Linked DNA regions of Danio rerio. The protein of the gene in region 4 purifies or fractionates together with the protein of the main gene of each other region. This does not show direct contact. Links are inferred from orthologs where the notes say so. Each region holds a gene or a part of one and is shown on either strand. Other genes may lie near its edges.

What was found. Proteins that work in one complex are often made in the same cells at the same time.
Region 1: the proteins of ddx39b (region 4) and lmna purify together in Homo sapiens (affinity purification with mass spectrometry, with the first as the bait; 4 studies listed by BioGRID). This does not show direct contact. The link is inferred for Danio rerio from reciprocal best matches to the Homo sapiens genes DDX39B and LMNA.
Region 2: the proteins of ddx39b (region 4) and rbm15 purify together in Homo sapiens (affinity purification with mass spectrometry; 3 studies listed by BioGRID and IntAct, with this or other methods). This does not show direct contact. The link is inferred for Danio rerio from reciprocal best matches to the Homo sapiens genes DDX39B and RBM15.
Region 3: the proteins of ddx39b (region 4) and myh9b purify together in Homo sapiens (affinity purification with mass spectrometry, with the first as the bait; 4 studies listed by BioGRID). This does not show direct contact. The link is inferred for Danio rerio from reciprocal best matches to the Homo sapiens genes DDX39B and MYH9.
Region 5: the proteins of ddx39b (region 4) and hnrnpua purify together in Homo sapiens (affinity purification with mass spectrometry, with the first as the bait; 3 studies listed by BioGRID). This does not show direct contact. The link is inferred for Danio rerio from reciprocal best matches to the Homo sapiens genes DDX39B and HNRNPU.

What each region holds. Positions count from the first base shown.
Region 1 is NC_133191.1:33,787,058-33,791,301, forward strand, and holds the start of lmna (lamin), read right to left. Parts: upstream 2,801-4,244; 5' UTR 2,726-2,800; exon of another isoform or gene 2,393-2,725; intron 1-2,392.
Region 2 is NC_133183.1:26,684,728-26,688,703, forward strand, and holds the start of rbm15 (RNA-binding protein 15), read right to left. Parts: upstream 2,801-3,976; 5' UTR 2,654-2,800; coding exon 92-2,653; 3' UTR 1-91. UniProt on the Homo sapiens protein: RNA-binding protein that acts as a key regulator of N6-methyladenosine (m6A) methylation of RNAs, thereby regulating different processes, such as hematopoietic cell homeostasis, alternative splicing of mRNAs and X chromosome inactivation mediated by Xist RNA.
Region 3 is NC_133178.1:3,460,319-3,464,592, forward strand, and holds the start of myh9b (myosin-9), read right to left. Parts: upstream 2,801-4,274; 5' UTR 2,399-2,800; exon of another isoform or gene 581-2,398; intron 1-580. UniProt on the Homo sapiens protein: Cellular myosin that appears to play a role in cytokinesis, cell shape, and specialized functions such as secretion and capping. Required for cortical actin clearance prior to oocyte exocytosis. Promotes cell motility in conjunction with S100A4.
Region 4 is NC_133194.1:29,763,105-29,766,604, reverse strand, and holds part of ddx39b (DEAD (Asp-Glu-Ala-Asp) box polypeptide 39B), read right to left. Parts: intron 2,934-3,500; coding exon 2,815-2,933; exon of another isoform or gene 873-2,814; intron 1-872. UniProt on the Homo sapiens protein: Involved in nuclear export of spliced and unspliced mRNA. Component of the TREX complex which is thought to couple mRNA transcription, processing and nuclear export, and specifically associates with spliced mRNA and not with unspliced pre-mRNA.
Region 5 is NC_133192.1:12,690,154-12,694,424, forward strand, and holds the start of hnrnpua (heterogeneous nuclear ribonucleoprotein U), read right to left. Parts: upstream 2,801-4,271; 5' UTR 2,677-2,800; coding exon 2,262-2,676; intron 327-2,261; coding exon 212-326; intron 1-211. UniProt on the Homo sapiens protein: DNA- and RNA-binding protein involved in several cellular processes such as nuclear chromatin organization, telomere-length regulation, transcription, mRNA alternative splicing and stability, Xist-mediated transcriptional silencing and mitotic cell progression.

The DNA of each region.
Region 1 (4,244 bases), on a different chromosome or scaffold from region 4:
GCTAGACGAGTAACACTATCAGTTCTGTACTTTCTCTTCTCATTCTCTCGTCGCATTACCTCACACAACCACTGCATTCCCACATAACAATGTGATTCCCTAGAGCAAATGTCTCTCCACCCGAGTGGCATTTCTGACATCTGTGACAACTAAAAGCAGATTATGTCACAATCAGGAGTCACGATCAGAAGTTCATTGTGTGCAGTGATTTCGGGGAACAACCTGCAGATTTTTTTGGGGAGAATTTGGGAAATTTTGCTGAGGCAGATGAGGTGGATTTGTGCTCTAGACTGGTGGTCGAAAGGTGGAGATGTTAGGACATACAGTATGTGTCAAATTACAAGACATGACAGGTTCCAACCAGAAAGGAATTTCGTGACACCTCCGAATTACAGTGTTTAAATCATTTTCACATTACTTCAAATGTAATGGCATTTAACTGTTAATATAACACTTAAAATCATTCCCAGTGATTAATTTAAGACTACAAATGAGTACAGCCTGAAATCACTGTATTTATTTGAGTAAAATGCTATGCTGTTAAAACTGTTGAGTCATGCATTGGGAATGAACATACAAATCGTTCTGTCTTTCTCTATGAACATCCCTAAAATGCCACTGCTATATGTACTACAGTAAACATGGCAGATTAAAACAAAAAAATACAAAGTACAAAAAAAATTATAAAATAATAGTAAATAAAACGGCAATAAAATAAGTAGCTAAAGTACAAAAATTACTAAAACCGATATATATAATAAAAGATGTTATTTTTTAACCCAGACATTTAAAAAGAACTTATTTTACAGAAGTAATTACAATATAAACTACGAATATAAATACTATATATATATATATATATATATATATATATATATATATATATATATATATATATATATATATATATATATATTATTTGCATGGCACATGGGTAAAGAAATCTTTTGGCTTTAGACATCCCCATTCTCACGAGTTTCTAAGTTCTCTTACCCTTCCAACTGAGTTTGTTCTTCCGAGGCAATCTGGAAACACCTCAGTGCTGCTGCGAATAGCCTTGTAAATACCTGTCCTGCTTATTTAAATCACCTGCTTGATTAAACTAATTAAATTAAAATTGACCGGCACAATGGATGGTTTTGTAAATAATACTGAAAACAGTTTAATATAGGTTTCTCTGAAACGGTGAATATTTCACTTTCATTTTATTTAGGCTAGATTATTATTTTATTTAACAAATCAGTTTGCGTTTTGGCGCTGAAGCATATAGTGAACTGGTTTTGTAGCACTCAGATAATATTTATTATTGTTGTTTATCTAGTAGATAACCAACAAATAAAAAATGTATTCAAATTAGGATACAAGGACGTGCTTTCATTTTCTCAATCTCACTCGCGGCAAGTTCAGTTGAGGGAGTGTTTAAGCAAATCATATACATATTTATATATATATATATATATTATATATATATATATATATATATATATATATATATATATATATATATATATATATATATATATATATATATATATATATATATATATAAACAGGAAACATAAGTTTGATCCTATCAGTTTCGTAACAAATGCCCTTAAATAATAGGCCTATAGCGTTTGACAGCAAGCACCAGTGCTTTTCAGGTTGAAATATGAATAAGGGATGATGGGGCAGGGTGGTGCTGGATATGTGCGTTCTTTTGAATAAAATCCTGCAGGCCCCTGACTTTAGATATTACTCTAGAGAATCATTCTAATACTAGCTCTAAAGTGACGTTGGTGAAGTAGCAATGGTTTTTGCTGTTTTGACATCAGCTTCAGATGTGAATGAATGGTAAAAGAAAGTAGTTCCTCATTCAAAAGAATTTTTAGACTCTGTTTGATTTTCTTTTTTAAACACAATAATGCCGTCAAACTGTTGTATAAACGCATTATCACACGAGTAACAGTGCGATATGACTGTTTATTGTCACTAGTGGAACACTAAAGCATGCAAACACGTTTACGCACGGCTCCCACCAGTGCTGATATACAGCCATATCACACTGCTACTCGTGTAAAATTGCTATTGCTCATATATAAAATATAATAACTTTCAACTAATAAAAATGAAAATAAAAAAAACTTCAATAAAATATTTTATTAAATAAAATATATGTATTAAATGAACTTTAAATACTAAAACTACTAAAACTTAAAAATAAATTAGTAAAAAAATACAAAAGAACAAATAGGCCCACACTTAAAAAATGAAAACTAAAAAAAATATCAAATAAAAGCTACATTTTACTTTTTAATACTATAACCTCAACTGTAATTGTAGCGGTAAAAAAACGAATATTTTTTATAAAAAACTAACAACATTTAATAATTAGCAGCAGCATGGCATGCATGTAATTTTTATAGAATACTTAATGTGATTGAGAATACTGTGAGTATAGCCTTCAAATTTTATTCTTTTTTTTTTTTTTTTTACAAAATTGTATATAATTTAAGGCATGCCAAAATGACTAATTCAGGACTAGAGACGGGAACTGCCTGGGATCAGCAAGGATATATTTGAGAAATAATTATGCTGTTAAAACTGTTGAGTCATGCATTGAGAATGAACATACAAATCTATCCATTTATAAACACGACATAAATGCTGTTGCTACGGACTACAGTAACCACCGCAGAAGATTAAATGTTTGACCAAAGATTCAGACAGGGAAATAGTGACTCACAGTTGCCGAAGCCCAAAATCAGGAATTGTTTGCAGGCGTCATGGATCCACCATCGCCGCACACTAGCAGAGCAGTGAGTGCAGCAGAATGATGGAATCGTGCGGCGTCCTCTAGTGGCCGATACATAGAAACGCAGAAATTTACCGTGGTCTACAAAAACATACACAGGTAATGAATTTTGACTGAAGTATTAAAAAAATCACACATTTTTATCAGGCTCCCATTTAGTAACTTGACGAATAGCAATGAAAATTTTAGTAGCTTGATGTATATGCCTTATTTTCTTAGCATTATAGTGACTGTGAAAGATCCTCATGATTCTGATCAAAACAAACAAAAGGTAAGATTTGCTAACTTATTCTTATTTTTTTTAGCACATAGACATTTGGCTACATGAAACATTAGGTCAAGACTATTTAACTGAAAGTCTGATTGACAAAACCCTGTAAAACCCTGGTTGCTAACTTTTTAGCAACTTGTCATAATACCCTAGCTTGTTTCCCTAAAAGCACCCAGCAACAAATTTAGCTATTTTTAACATTCATTTGGCTTCATTTAGCAACTTTTTAAAGAGTGTCTCAAATCAAAAGAGCAGTAGCTACTAGTGACTGCAGGCTTCGGCTAACTCTAAATCTAAATAGCTGGGCACAGAAGAGCAGCCAAAATAGTTCCTGGTAAACCAGAGAGACTGAAACGCATTTCTAGGACAGCAATTCAAGCACCCTTAGAATTTTTAGAAATTGTTCTTCCTGATCCGTCCAGTAGGCGGTGGTTGGGTTAAGGCATAGGGGTGGGGTAAGGCCATATTTGATCCTAGAAATGTAATTCTGAAACTGCAGCCTCTGGTTGTGCAGCACCAGCAATATTTGTGGGCTGAATGCAAGAGCAGTAGATAATATTTCACATTTTGTTAACAACCATTAACATGTAGGCTATATTTTTTGTACATTTAGATAGCATTAACTACCAATACATTGATATAATTAAACATATTTCAAATAATGTTTTGCTAAGATGGGCAGTCTATTTAAAAAACTCATGGATTCATTAATTCATTCACTTTTCACCTAAGTCCCTTTATTAATCAGTGGTCGCCACAGCAGACCTATCCCTGGGAAACATCCATACACACTTATTCACACACATACACTACGGACAATTAAGCTTACCCGATTCATCTATAGCCCATGTCTTTGAACCTGTGGGGAAAACCCAGAGAAAACCTACGCGAACATAGGAGAACATGCAAACTCCACACAGAAATGCCAACTGACCCAGCAGGCACTCGAACCAGCAACCTTTTAGCTGTGAAGCAACAGCTCTAACCGCTGCGTCACTTCGCCACCCCAAAACTCATGGATTATTAGTTTAAAGATACATCTAAGCCCAGCAACCCCCCCCCCCCCCCCCCCCATCCCATTTTACATAAACAGAACAATATGGTTAACATATTTTTTGTCAGTTCTTACAGACTGTGAAGAAGAGATGGTGGAAGAGACTCACCTCTTTTTTCAGAGCT
Region 2 (3,976 bases), on a different chromosome or scaffold from region 4:
CTCTAGTACCACTTCTGCTTTAGAGAGCATGCAATTAAGAGACATTAAGAGAAGCTTGCATTTAACAATACTTTAGTGTGTATTATGACTGTTAAGATGCTCCTCGCACAACGATCATGACCAGGAAGTCCTCTTCTGTTTTGGCAAGAGCTTTCGCAGAAGAATCTAAGAACTGCTGAGAGAAATCACATGGTGGAAATGCGTGCAGGACGCCAGTGTTGTCCTTATCTCTACTGCCGCCGACGGGCAAACTGATGACCCCGGCGGCCTGCTTTTGCTTCAGGTATGAAACCAGGTTGCGGAGAGGCCTCTGCGTGGATGCTGCTGGGTCTGATGATGAAGTCTCCTCAGAGCTGCCTGGAACTGCCAGTAGAACTGCGTAGCCTCCTGGGCCTGCCACTTTGATGCGCCGAGACACCTCGTCGATCTTGGGCTGGTCTAGACGAAGCCGTTGTGTGATGCGCAGCTGAGAGACTTTTCCACCCGTGCTGCCGTCGATGAGAAGGCTGGTGGCGACGCTCAGGTCCCCCTCCAGGAGGTGCATGCTGGCTGGGAAGTTACTGTTCTTGAGGAGCAGCATGCCATTCCAGGCCATGCTCAGCTTCCCCCCTGCGTCCTGTTTTGAAGCTTGGTTGCTTTTGGAGCTGCTTTCGGATCTGTCCCTCTTGGATGCACCTTTAGCTGAATCGCCCGCTTTGCGCTTTCGTTCTGCAGGGCTTGCGCCGATGCTGGACTCAGAGAGGTTGCTGTTGCTTTTGATGCGTTTCTCACCGGGAACTCGGTCCAGGCTGCTGCGGCTCTCTCGTGCTGGGGACACCCGGTCTGCTCTCGCTGGACGCTCAGAGTCACTGAAACGTCCGTCTCGGCTGCTGCCGCCTGGGCTGCCCTCAAGCGACGGGGGTCTGCGACGGCGGGCCGCCCACTCACTGCTGCTGTCAGGCGAACACTCCAGATGTCTGCCGTCCTCCATGAGCCGCCGTTTTCGTGCAGCTTCTCTGCCTGGCAGCTCTCGCTCCAGTGACCAGGCCTCTCGCCGTCGTTCACGCTCTAAGTGTTCAAGGGGCTCAAATGCAGGAGTTCGTACACGTTCACGAATAGTAGGTGCTGGCCACTCAGCCCCAGCATAGAGTTCTCTTTCTCTGAAGTGCAGTGGCGGAGGAGTCCGTTCTCTGACCCTGATGGCTTCAGGGGTGGCACGATGAACGAAAGACTCAGCCATGATTTCATAATGTTGCAGGGGGAGGGGCTGCAAGAACTGTTGTTGGTAGCGATGCTCTGTGTCAGCAAAGTCCACCCTCAGCCTCCTGTCAGGACCACCAAGAGGAAATCCACGCATGTGTGTGCAGGCTGCCTGAGCAGCGTCCAGGCTTTCATACTGAATATAAGCCCAGGTGTCCCCTTTTCTGTAGTCTATAGTCCTAATAGTTCCAAAGCGGTCAAATTCCCGGGCTAATGCAGTCAGAGGCACCCAAGGGCCAAGACCACCCACCCATAGTCTTGTGGTTGGGGTGGCTTTACCATATCCAATTTTTATGGGGTTTCGGCCCACAACTTTCCCAGACATGCTAATTTTAGCTCTGTGAGCCATGTCCAAATTCTCAAATTTAAGGAAGCCATAGGTGCTGCTCTGGCCACGAGTGGGTCTTTTAATGTCCACCTCAGTGATTGTCCCAAATCGTTCAAAAGCCCTCCTCAAATCGTTTTCAGTCACAGTAATATCCAAGTTACCCAAAAACAGTGTGCGGTTGGCTCTCTGGTCGTCCTCTGGAGAGATAAAGTCCTCCTCACGGAAAGGAGCGGCTCGCTCTGCTATGTATGCGGGCCGCGCCCTCGCTTCATAAAAGGCAAACTCTCTTTCTCTTTCCAGCTCTCTGGGCAGAGGCGGGGGTGGGGGAGGAGGAAGCCGACCCAGTGCTAACTGCTGTAACCGGTAGTCCCTGTAGCCCAGGCCGGTTGGAGAGAGCGGCCTCTGAGTATGCAAATGTCTATGGCCTGCAACAACAGAGAAATGATCCTCCTTCACCGGAGAGCGACTCCTCCGCCTGTTCAAGTAAACTGCCTCGATTTTTAAAGGACGGTCGTAGAGCACCAGCCGGCCTCGTGCGTGCTTTGCCGCCCTGGCATCATCCGGTCTCCTAAAGTTGACGAATGCGATTCTCTCGTCGTTCACTCGGCTGATTTTGACGCTCACGTCACCAAATTTTTTGAATTCATGAAAGAGGCCGTCCTCGATTTCCTCGTCACTCAGCTGCGAGCCAAGCTCGCTGATTTTTAAAGTTTTGTACTCACTTTCGTTTGTGGGAAGCGGTGCGCGCGCCTCCCCGCGCGAGTTGGTGCGCGCCGCCTCTAAGGACAGACTCGAGGCGTGATTTTTGCCGCTTGAGCTCGCAACAGGGCTCGTGTAACCGTGGTTATTACCAGTCCGACTGGATACATGTCCGTCAAATTCCCGTCCGTCTCTTTTATCTCCAAGCAGTCCCCGTCGTGCAGAGCCCCCGTCGCTTTTAGACGAACTATTGCCGTTGTTGCTTCCTCCGCCAGAATTCGAGATAACCCCCATTTTCTTACTGGTCGGATGGCTTCCTCCCCTGTCTCGTATATCATCCAAGGCCCTTGAACGTTTTTTCACCGGCGACCGCTCTTTACCTTTCATGTTAGATGTCCTCTGGCTTCACGCGCCTAACAAAACACTTTTTTAACTGTAATGCTACCGCAACGTCAACGAATTTGCACGATAAACTGAATAAATTGTTCAGTGTCCCTGCGGCAAAACAACCGCATACGCCATCTTGTCAAGACTAAAACATGACCCGCCCGTCGACTTTGATTGGTTTGAATCTCTGAGAAACGACAGCGCTATTGGCTGATCCGTCTGTCAATCTAAAGCACTAGTACAGCGCCCAGTCTCGCTGTACACCATTTTAGCTTCAAAAGCCAAATGTTTACTATAGCCACTTTATAAAACACAGAGGTGACATTCAACTAACCACACATATAGTCTTTGAGAACATGTACTGCCAATATTATATTTGCTTCTTAAACCATATTTATTAATCATCTCGATAAATCTACAAAGAGTGCTTTGTATAGGCTATTTTTAAAATTAAACGGTGTTTAACTTTAATAGATGCTAAGAGTCTGAGTTTCACCTACATGTTATTTCTTATAAATTTAAATGAACTGTGCAATCTTTATAAAACGTAAGTAATCCAAATAAAAAAAAACTAAAACATTCTCGTTGTTCACTTGATGTCCAACAGATGGTGGTGTTTGCCTTTCACAGAGGTGAACGGACGTGAAAAAACAGCCTTTTAACCATGTCGGTCAGCTATAGATGAGCATTTTCCATGGGTTTTAGCCATTGGTTTTAGCCTAATAACTGAAATAATTTCTTAACTAAAACAATGCAGATCTCTGATTATATGCCCATGTCTGTGAATTTTTTTTTATGTTAAATTGTAAAAAATAAATAAATAAATAAATAAATAAAAGTAATGTTATTGCCTTTAAATTAGTTAAAATTTATCTTAAAACAATTTAGTGTTTTACAATTTGCATGCTTTACTCATACCCTCAGGGACCATTATAGTTTTAACTTATACAATTATCAATTCAACCATCAAAATTAAAAAAAATTACCCCCAAATTATTATTTTTTTCAATGAAGAAAAATAGGAATATATTTATAGGACAATGCTTTGAACTTAATACAAAAACGTCCAAAACCTTAAATGAGTGATAATAAAACAAAATACAACTATTTTAAAAACTTTATCATGCACATAAACACATTCATCCAATGTTGATTCACCAGAAGACAAATTGAACAGCCAACGTGTCATTTATTTATTTTTTACAATGCACAAACTGCATTCAAAATCAAACACTTTCTTGAGTATTTGAGTAGGCTACATACTTTGAAAACACGCCCTACATAATGAACATAGTATTGTTTGAACAATCTAGAACTACAAGA
Region 3 (4,274 bases), on a different chromosome or scaffold from region 4:
GTGCGGTTCGCTTTCACACTGCAAAGTTTCTAATCGGACCAAAAGAGCTAAAACAAGTCACGTGCGAGTAAACTCTCCTTACATTGGTCAGAGTGTCAGGGTTTATTTTGCAGCGTCCCGCTCAGCTGTCAGGAGAGGTGGTGGTTTGGTGGTGATTGACAGGGTGCGCGCGCGTGACGTGTCTGAGGATAGACGCGGTGGGGAGGGGTGAGAAGGGTGCGCGATGATGCCTATTTGAGGACTGGGAGAGAGACACGAGATTACCGGGAGATCATCACTCGTTTGCGGGCATCCGGAGACTCACGAAACTTCCCGCCTTACTCATAATTCTCTCTTCATATAGCCGTAAGCCTATTACATATCCATAAAACACTGTGATATAACCGCGCTCGGATCAGATCGCTTTCTCACTGCAATCGAACCGCTCCAGGGTTCGTTTCAATCGAGCCGAGACCACCTCATTCAAGCGATCTCGGAGCGATTACTTTGGCGCGGGACAGAGCGCGATTGCCCTGTTCACATATGCCAATCGAACCGCGCTAACTGGGCAAACGAGATACGTTCCGAAACAAAAGTGTAGGTGTGAAAGCACCCTTAATCATTACTGAGAGTTGATGATCAGTGCACTAGGCTATAGGTGCTGACTTCATGTTCATGTTTAATTTGATATCAGACAAATAATGGACCATACTAAGTTATAAAAGAGTGGTCATGCTCACACCTTTTAATGCACGACTTGGAAAACAATAGCTGTACAAATTCCACGCACACAAACACATTAGCTAAAGTCCTCTTGTTCATCATTAGGAGTTGACAAGGCATAATTACCCTGTCAGATTTGTTCAAATCACTCAAACCAAGAGCAAGCTGGCAAAGTACCATTTTACACTTATTTAAGCAATCTCTATATAATGATGGATATAGCATAGTGCATTTGCTCTTTTAAGCATTTATTTAATCTCTGCATGTATACATTGAATTACTACATCTTCCACTACATCATATGCAACTTTTATTGTGCACTAAAAAGCAATTTTAAAAGCTGCAACTAAATTACAGTCAACTGTTGACCAAATAAATATATCCACTGAGTCTGTATTGAACTCAGAAGCTTTAGGCCTCGAAAAACTGTTCCCCACAATTACGATGTTGTGGTTGAGTTCGACTCGTAAATATGATTTTTTGGACAGGACTTGGACGCAGCAGCTCTGTGCGCAGTATAAATGCCGCAGGGATTGAGGGAGTCTTATGCGTTTCCTTAACCAATGAAGAGAAGCTACAACAAAATCCAGAATGAGACCAGCATGTGCTTTTACTGGGTCACAACGTCCTAGACATACTCGCTCAAAGAAAACCAGGTCACACACACACACACACACACACACACACACACACACACACAGGTCAGGTGTGTACTGCAGACGTCTTCTAAGAAAGTGAAACTGGTGTTCATTTCAATAATATTATTTGCTCTATGGCACTGAATAACACACACACACACACACACACACACACACACACACTTATAACACTATTACTAGCAGCAAACAGAATGATGACAAAGATAAATGCAGTACACACTCACATCAGCATGAATCTGAGAGCTCACATGGATTACACACAGATTTGTGTGGTTATAAGACACACCCGACAAAATCACAACTAAATCTGAGCATAAAGCTAAAGTAGCTGCCAATCACTCACTTCAGAGATTCATCAACATCCTGTTCATAACAATCAAGAACCAATAAAGCATTAGAGGGTTTCTGAAATGAAATATGCTAATTGCTGGACACATATTCAGAAAGCAGCCAACAACACGTATATCAAAATACACAGAAATGCAACAAGGCCACACACCAGAAGGACGAGCTCGCGCAGCGCGCCCCCGCGAATGACCGTGTGCACTCTTCCTTTCAAATATTAACCAAGTTTCTTGCACACAAATGAAATTTGTCCGGTTGAAGAAAGCGCGCACCAATGTCTGCGGGAGCACGCAGCGCGATCACACCCTCATCGAACTTTGGGAGCGCGCGTAACCTATTTCCATCTGTCTGTAACTAACTAGAACTCTCTAGAAGAGTCAGAAACTACGTTTATTTGCGTCCAAGTTTACTTTCCTGCTGTGTTAACAAACCGCTAATACAGATTCGTCCTTAAAATCGGGCGGATAACTGAAAACGCGCCGCTTGGCCCAGTTTTAACGCGAGCGATGACGTAATGAGCGCCCGTGAAACGTCACTCGCTAGCGCTCAATGACATCATGCTCCGTTTGCAGTCGCACTGCACCCTACTTTCGCGCAAACAGCATTTTCTGTGAAAATTAACGGGTTTCCGCGTGCCCGTTGAGGCCCGCGCGAGCCGGTGTTTCTGCGCTCGAGCACTTCCTGAAACTCACCGCGCGGCTGTCCGTGCCGATCGGACGCGTCACAGGTTATCTTCGCAAGAAATATCGATCAACCGTAACGATTTCACCACAACAAGTTTGCAAGTGCAGCAAAACCAGGCCGCGTCACTCCAGGTCGCTGCTCACACTAGCTGCGCTTCCTGTTTCTCCGCGCGGCGACTGAATGGATCTGCGGAGGAAACGGAACCGTCCACCCGGTGCTTTACCTGCTAATCAGATGCAGACGCTCGGAGTTCGGGGGATGGTTGTCAGAAACTCCAGAGGCTCAGTGTGGATCCGTGTCGCGTGCTCCAGACTTCCCTTTTCAATCCACTGAAGCTGCGCACAAGTTGGCTCTCTTCACTCGGCTCTCTTTTTTTCTTCCTTTCTTTCTCTTCCCTCCCTCTTCCACTCGTAGTTGAACTCCGTCCTGCTGTAATGGTTCGGGGTGCGGTCCCGGTGGGGCGGAGTCTGCGGCACGTAACCGCCCCTTTCCTGAATCTCCGCCAATCACAGTCCGCTCGCTCTGCATTCCCGAAGGCTTCGGCCAATGACAGGCGGCGTGTGGGCGTGCCAGAGCGGGTAAAAGTCCGCGTCACAGGGTGAACTTGAAATAGTTGGGCCGCAGGGCCCCGTATGTGTGCTTAATGTCTGAGGTATGTGCGCGACTTTGGGCTTTTGTGACCATATAAGTCGCCGGACCGTGTTTACACGCACACACACACGCGCAGGAATGGAGGAATGTCTGGAATCAGGAACTTTCTCTCCTTCTTTTAAATAAATAAATACATAATGGGTGTCAGTGTTGACAGGCATTTCACAATTTACAGAGTTTATTGGATCATTTCAATATTTATGTACGGATAGTTTATTTTAGCCTACTATTATTACACGATATTTCAATATTGTCCCGTCACAGATAATATCAATCTCTATCTGTGCGTCTATCTCATTGATTTGCATATCATTTGACTGAAAATCATACAATGCTTGATGCAGCTTTTGAATAATAACAGGCATGTGTATTAAACCATTGATTTTAAAGGACTGATTGATGATATTGCTGCTTTCTCAGCTAGCTATGAACTTCAGAAACACATTGACACTTAGTCAATTCAACGCATGAAAAATCAAACTAAAATCAGGCAAATCTGAACGAATAACACATCTCAGCACACATAAAAATAAATGTTTATTGAAATCTTTATCCTTTAAAAATCTATAATTATGTATAGTAGTGTTTTTGAACTATAGTAGGGTACTTTAATTAATCTGCTGTGTACGTCTTCTAATACAGCAACTAGCAATATAAACAAATTACATAATACTATGTATACTAGGCGACATACATAATGTAAATTAAAATAATTTATTTTATATTTTATTATTTTGTATTTGATTTTTATTTTATTTTATAATTTTTATTTTATTATTATTATTATTTTATTTTTAGCATTATATTCTTGTTCCTGAAACTCTTTAGTTTCAGTAAAACATAATTTTGTTTATATTTTGAACTGAAAACGCTATTATTTTATATTATATTAATATATTATATAACTGAAAACATATTTTTATATTACTTTATTTTTATTTTATTTTAATATTTTATTTTTAATTATTTTATTTTGTTATTATTAATGTATTTTATTTTTTATTATCATAAGTTTATTTTATATTTTATTATTTTTATTTTATTACTATTTTATTTAGGCGACACAGTGGCGCAGTAGGTAGTGCTGTCGCCTCACAGCAAGAAGGTTGCTGGTTCGAGCCTCGGCTGGGTCAGTTGCCGTTTTTGAGTGGAGTTTGTATGTTCTAGTTTCCCCCACAGTTCAAACACATGTGGTACAGGTGAATTAGGTAAGATAAATTGTCCGTAGTGTAT
Region 4 (3,500 bases):
TACTGCTGGATCTCATCTCACAATTGTTGTTATATTTTACCAACAACAAACAACAAATGTGATGTCTCTATCTAACGACTCAATTGTCTTTTGAATCTATAATTTGTTCTCAGGTAAAGAGTTTTGACTGAGCACAAAGATATTTTTGTATATTATATATTTATACGTAAACTGTCAAGTAAACTAATTCTGCACATTTGACTGCATGCTTGCCTTTATTTTCTATATTGTATAAACTTATTGTATTATTGATTGCCACTATTGATTATTAAAACTGATATTCAGCAAAAGAGATGTTTCATACTTTTCAATAAAAGTGAAAGGAGGCAGTTAAAGGCTCCATTTTGTTAAAAATATGTATACAGTGAAGATATTGTTTAGAAAAATTGTAGAGGGGGTGATGTGACTGACGTTATATGGTGTTCAGTACACTGTTCCCTTTGAAGATTTATCGACGTGTCCTCGGGAGTTTGTTTTCCATATCAAACTTACAAAGTCTTAACTTACAAGGAAAGAATGCAAGAACTTTGTGCACTTAATATAAAAAAAACTCCAATCAAATAGACGAACATCTGAAGCCACGCCTCCGTTTTCAGATGTCTCCGTTTTCCCCCATCCACACTGACACAAAGCAGCAGAATTTTAAAACTAAAAAAGCTTCTTCAGCGTTTCTGAATTGCTCCGTTTTTGGCGCTCGAAAACTCCATAGCGTGGACGGAAGGCTCAACTGTAGCACAACTCATGCGTTTTAAAACTAAAACACATTAGTGTAAACAGGGTCTCAGTCTCCGCTAATGAGCTGATGATCTGAATCGGGTGTTTTTGGTTAAAAAGACATGGAAAATATGCAGTACTGGTGGCCCTCCAGGAACATGGTTGGGAAACACTGCCTTAATATATTTAATATGCATTCATGATCCAACTATTTTAATCAATCTACTGCAAAACGTTAGCCTCGAGTTAATTAGCTAACAAACTTTATTTAAGTCTACTGCCTTTCTAGAAATGTAACCGTACTTGGCATAATAACATATTATCAGTTACAGCTGTAACTTTAACAATGTTAAAAAACAAAAACAGAAATTTTGCCACCATGTCAAACATCTATTTCAGTTGCTCAATTTTTACAACCAAGTCCCATCCCACAAGTGAATTATAACTGCCATTTCATGTTGACTTTGAACACTCACTCGCCACCTCACACACATTTCTGCAACACTGTGTAACATTTAGCAGTGGGACGTTCAAAAAACAGATCAATTTGTAAGCCAAATTTATTCAATAGATAGCTTAATTCAAAATATAAAGAACACCCTATAATAAAGTTTGGTATCCAGTCTTATGAGGATCTCATTTAAGATGTTAACTCGGTCCACAGCACTGCTAAATGCATGTATGCACTTACCTTGTTTGTTTAGTCAACTCTATCTTCTCAGCCTATCAATCAAACAGTTATCAATTGTCCCATATAAAGCTCATTTTTTTATATTGAGGTCAACCTAGGTGGTGCTTTGTATTCTGACTAAACGAGCACTAAAGGGTGTTTGAATGCAAAGTTTTGACTAATCATAAGGGTATGACTATTTAGTAAACCCATGTGCCCCCTTAGGTCCCCTAGCAGGTCATTCGATATTTTGTATAGTTGCTTAAAGTTGTGCTTCACTATTTAGTTGTATTGATGTTTTCAGTTGCCACCAGGAGCGTCTCTATCTACACCCGCGCATGTCTCCTCTCTACTCTATGAAGTTTCTTTACAATCTCATCCCTCTCGCTCCAGTCTTCCGCAGCTTAATCCTCCCTTTCTCTCTCTTCTCTCGTCCCTCACACCCGCGCATTCTTTCTTCTCCGCTTCAGGCCAGTTTTACTGCTTTGATTTTAACTTCATGACAGACGGTTTGTCTTTGTTGTTCTTGGGGGCACATGAGGAACTGTGCTAATCACTGACTGTCAGCTAGATTGATGAAGAGCGGCTTTATCATTGGCGAGCCCACCTGAGCTGATTTACGCCGCCAATGATTGAATCTTTTTTATTCCCTTAGTTGATTTCATTGTGCTTTGTTAAAGAGTAATTAACTGCAGGCCCTGGAGTGCCAGGTTGTCGTGAATCTAATGTGGTTTTTAGCAGCTGGCTTGCTTTGTCGGGCCGATACTTTATCGGTTTTAGTTTTGTGCCCCCTTGAGAGTCTCTGGCAGTTTGCAACAAATCTTCAACAAGTGCTTGTGTTCTTAATTAAAGGTTATTTGGGGACAAATCTCCAGGCTGGAATTACAGTTGAGCAGGAACTAAAGCAATTTATCTTGATGAATGGAAACTGAGTGTGAAGTAATATTCAAATGTGAAGGATTGTGTTCACTTGGGACTAAATGTTTTTAAAATGAATTTACAGCCCTGAACTGAAGTGTTTAGGGATTAGGGGAGCATTACTTTGTTACTTTAAAGACGTCCTCTTTAAGATATATTGGATAGACTCTTCATGACTTTAAGAAATGTTGTTAAAGGACCTATTTAAATTTTCAATCGGGCTGAGGCTGATGGATGGTGCATTATCTTTTGGCCAAACGGACCGGGGGTGACTGTGTGCCAAATGCCGACACAGCGCTGCCAGCTGAGGCGGGGATTAAGGACTTAACATCTTTTTTCGCTGTGCCTCTATTAGTTAACAGTCTGTGATTATCAAACAGGCAGGAGAGAGGGGCATTTAGCGCTAGGATGTCTCAGGGAGGTCGTAAATGGATCTCTTTCAGGTGTTTATGATGTGGCCTTGTGAAGGGAAGGAGCTGCTGACATGGTAGTAGTAGGAGAGGCGTAATTACATCTTGCATGAACTTTCTGCAGACAGGACGGATCTCTTTGCTCAGGGTGGCACTGAACATCATGACCTGCTTCTCATGAGGGGTCATTCGAAAGATTTCTTGGACATCCCGACGCATGTCTGCAGAGGATATAAAAAAAGACAAATGTGTTTTTTTCACATATTTTTATCATCATTTACAGAAGAGACACATTTAAATGATAACTATATATATATATATATATATATATATATATATGTGTGTGTGTGTGTGTGTATGTGTGTGTGTGTATGTATGTATATATATATATATATATATATATATATATATATATATACATATATATACATATACATATATATATATATATATATATATATATATATATATATATATATATATACATATACATATATATATATATATATATATATATATATATATATATATATATATATATATATATATATATATATATATATGAGGGGGGTTTCATAACCCTTTAACTTGGCTGCCAAACCATTTTTACTAAAAGGGATAGTTCACCCAAATATTTTTCATCTTTTACTCGCTCTTTACTAGTTTAAAACCTTTATAATTTACATTTTTTACTGGTGAAAACAAAGAATGACATTTTGATAATTGTTGGAAATCTGTAACCATGACTTCCATAGTATTTGTTCTTCCAACTACAGAAGTCAGTGGTT
Region 5 (4,271 bases), on a different chromosome or scaffold from region 4:
ATTGATTTCATTCTTTAACAGCCCGAGCACTGAGGTGAAAGAGATGCCCTTAATATTATTATAAGCTCAAAATTATTTCAAATGGTCAGTAAAAATGTGTGTTTCTTTGCACTGATGTCAGATCTGGCTCTTTACTGCCAGAACTGCTCATAAATCTTTCAGGTGCAGCGGAACCTCAGGAGTACCAGCAGCCCGACTGCACAATTCTTACCGGCTGTATTTTCTTTCTTCAATAAATTCAAAGTAGGCCCTTCCATGTTCATCTCGGCGTCTCTTTACACCCTTCTTATTCTTCTGTTCATCTTTCTTGTCTTTGTCCGCATCCCCTTTGGAAAACAAACAATAAAGCGTAAGGAAGAGTACCTCCCTGCTGGACCAGGCATGATGTAACATGATGGTCCACAGAATTACTGGAGGATTTATACTCTTGTTTAGGGTATGCATGAATTGCAATGAGCAGTGCTTTAAAAGAAAATTTATGCTCAAGGAGCGACGTCAGACAGTGCGGGTATTGTACACTGCGGGATTGTATGAGTACAGACAGAAGGTTGATGCCAAGACAACTGCAAACTGTGCAATTTTGAGCTGAGTAACACACATTTACATATTCAAATTGCATGCATCTTGAAGAACTGCAAATGTTGTGACATAAAAATTAGCGATGCACCGATACTGAAACCAGTATCGGGTCAATGCTTTGTTAAAATACTTGTACTCGTATCGCAAATGAAATGACGATACCACTCAACAGTATGTCACTACGTTGATTTGTTGTCCTACATGACTTTAATGTCTTAAGACAATAATTAAAAGAGTGGCGAGACTTGACAAGGCCATATGATGCTTTAAAATGCTTTTCTAATGTTCATGACTATAGTATACAAATGAATGAGGTGTCACAGAGCACTGACTGAATCAGATGGCCAATCAGAGATATTGGCTATCCAGAGAAAGGGGCTTGGTTGAAACCAAAACTCAATCAGAGCTGCAGCAATGCAGAGAAAGTGGAAAATAATATACATTTTTTTGAAAATTAAAGCATTATTTTAAATTAAATAATAAATTAAAATAGCATCATAAGGCCTGTTTGATGGTCACAGATGTAGGCTAAAGCCACTAACCCCCCTTTAGCACAAAGGGGGTAGAAGCATCTGCCAAATGACAACAAAGAATACCATGAGGTGCTCCTCAATACTGTAGGGCATCTATGGACCTGAAAAAGTTTAACTTCCACTAAAAACATGTAGTCAATAAACATGAAATATATAGTGTTTGAGTTTTTAGCCCCTTTAAGCAACATATTTTCCAATAGTCTACAGAACAAACCATCATTATACAATAACTTGCCTAATAACCCTTACCTGCCTAGTTAATAATTAATCTAGTTAAGCCTTTGAATATCATTTTAAGCTGAATACTAGTATCTTGAAAATTCTTAAGTAAAATATTATTTACTGTCATCATGACAATAATAAAATAAATCAGTTATTACAAATGAGTTATTAAAACTATTATGGTTAGAAATGTTTTGAAAAAATCTGCTTCTTTTCCGTTAAAAAGAAATTGGGGAAAAAATAAACAGGGGAGCTAATAATTATGACTTCAACTGTGTACTGGTGCAAAGACATTATAAGGGATCAATTAAATAAAATGAATAAATCAAAATGTACATTTTTAATAAAAAAAAATAACAATGGATTTTTTTCATTATTTCTTGCATTTAATTTGCAGATATTTCTCATACTTTAATTAGGTTAATGAAATATGTATTACATTAAGGTTTGACATATGTAGCACAATGTAAAGAAGATGTTGCATTCACCATAAAAATATATATATTGAAAAACTATTGGATAATCAATAAAATTATAAAACACTAAATAAAGGAAATAGGAATAAGAAAATAATTAAATTACGTAAAAATATAAGTTTATATTTTATTAGAAATAAATATTTGAAATAAAAAGAAATACATTGTATTATATTATGCATGTTATTATAATTAATATAATTATGTATAACATTTAGCTATATTAGATTAGAATAAAATAAAATACTTACATACTTAGCAAAGTAAAGCCTATTGCTGTAAATCATATAACCTGAAACTGTAGCAGTAACTCAAGGAGAAACAAATGGGACAGCAGCAATGAGCCCATAACAAACCCCAGTATACGCGTTCTGCTGACAGTATGAATTATTTTAGCCCAATTATACACAAAGTAACTATGAATTACTCGATCTTCATCGTATAATCTCACCCTTGTCAAGAGCCACATCATCCTCATCGAATTTCTCCATCTCTTCATCTTCATCATCATCACCATCATCATCTTTAAGAAGAGCGTCTTCATCCGATTTATCCATCTCTACCCCGGCGTCCTCCTCTTCCTCCTCCATAATATCATCATGCTCGGCCTCCGCGTTTCCTCCATCCTCTTCTTCCTCCTCCATGCTCTCTCCCACCGGGTCCTCCTCCAGGTCTTTGCCGGCGGGGTCTCCTCCGTCCTCGTACCGACGCTCGGAGCCGTTAGTACCAGAGAGCGCCTCCTCGTCTAGTGCGGCCTGCAGGCGCGACATAAGATCCGCCTTCAGCCCTTTATCAGACAGACTCCTTTTCTTTAGCTCGTCCTTCAGCTCGTTCACTTTCAGCTTCTTCACGTTTATAGCGCTCATTGTGACCGTCGTCTTCAGACTTGTGTATTTGAGCAATTATGAACGGAAAATATGAACGGAAAGGGCAGGTTGTTGTGAGCGGACTGTCCGTTAACGCGCGGTGCGGTCACTGTAGGCAGCAGTCGAAGCGGAACAAGGCCAGCTCAGCTTTATATAATCTACCGTAAAGCACGTTATAGCCGAGCGCGTATGAGACTACCGTAAATATCGATATTGATTTAAGATAATAGACGTAGTTTTACAATTTTTAGAAATTGTATTGTCTGTGTGGCTTTTTTGTTTAAAACTTAAGGCATTTTTTGTTCTGTTTTTAAACATGGAATTTAATTAGATATTTTACAGTCCTTTAGATAGGGTGGCTCTTTTTTCTGAAAAAGTGGACCTTTTCTGCAGTTATTCACCTCATTTTCTATTCAATTATGAGGTTTAAATAATGCATTGTAGTGACATTTTAATTACTAATCTTCGCCGAATCTTTTTGACGTACTAAAAATATTTTCTAGAGTGCTTATACTGCTTTATTACAAAGAATTTGCATTTAAACTTTAATTTACTACAGTTATATAAATAATGCTATGAGTTTTATTCAAATAAAAAATTAATAAAGAAAAATAAAAACATACTTATTTTTAAATACAAATTTTTTATCATCCATCATTTTAAAAATATATGGTCAAACTTGTTTTAAACTAAAAAGTGTAGCAGAAAAAAAAAACTCACCATCTCATTTCACTTTCCTCAGAAAGCCAGAATTTGGCCACTTGATGAGCAGATGAACATGATGTATATAAATTAATTTCTGCCTCTCCTGATGCCTCTATTTTGATTTCCCATTTTATAGCCGTTTGTAATAATCAGTTTGACATATCTACTTTGTATTTGAAAGATTCTTGAAAGATTTACAGATTATAATTACCAATGGGGACTGGAAAAAGTCTATCAAGGTCATAATAAATACATAAGAGTGTGAAGATGCAAAAACCTCTAAATGCCTTTTGAAACATTTCCCTAAAAGGAGTATTTTTTATGTGTATTCATATCACTTAAATGGCAAAGATTAAGTCCTTTTCCTGGGCTTTAAAGTAAAATATCTCAACATAAACAAAGGATGCTGAGAAAAAAGTAAATTTTCTATGGAAATTTCAGATGTTTTTTGCATCTAAACTCTTGACATGTTCTATTAACTCAAGACACCTAATCCAATATAAAAGTGTGCATTGGCTTCATTATTCTATAGGGTTAAGCTTAATAAATTCTAGTCCTCTATCTCCTGTAAATGTAATAAATGTGAAGCTGAAGGCTTCATAGGACATATTTTTTGGTCATGGCCAAAACCTTTTGAGATTTGGAGCAAAATGTTCAGATTCTACTCTGGGGCTTGTTCTTATGACCTTGCCCCTGATCCAGCAATCACTGTTTAGGTTTATCTGACTCAATTTGTAGGTTCAGTCATCAAATTAAAAAAGCTGTCCAATATAGAATGGTGATATATAGCTAAAAAACATTATTCTTTGTTTATGAAAAAGGCATCAAAACCACTTTAAATCCTTAAATCCTGGCTTTCAGAATTTTCTGCCACTTTACATTTAGAGAGA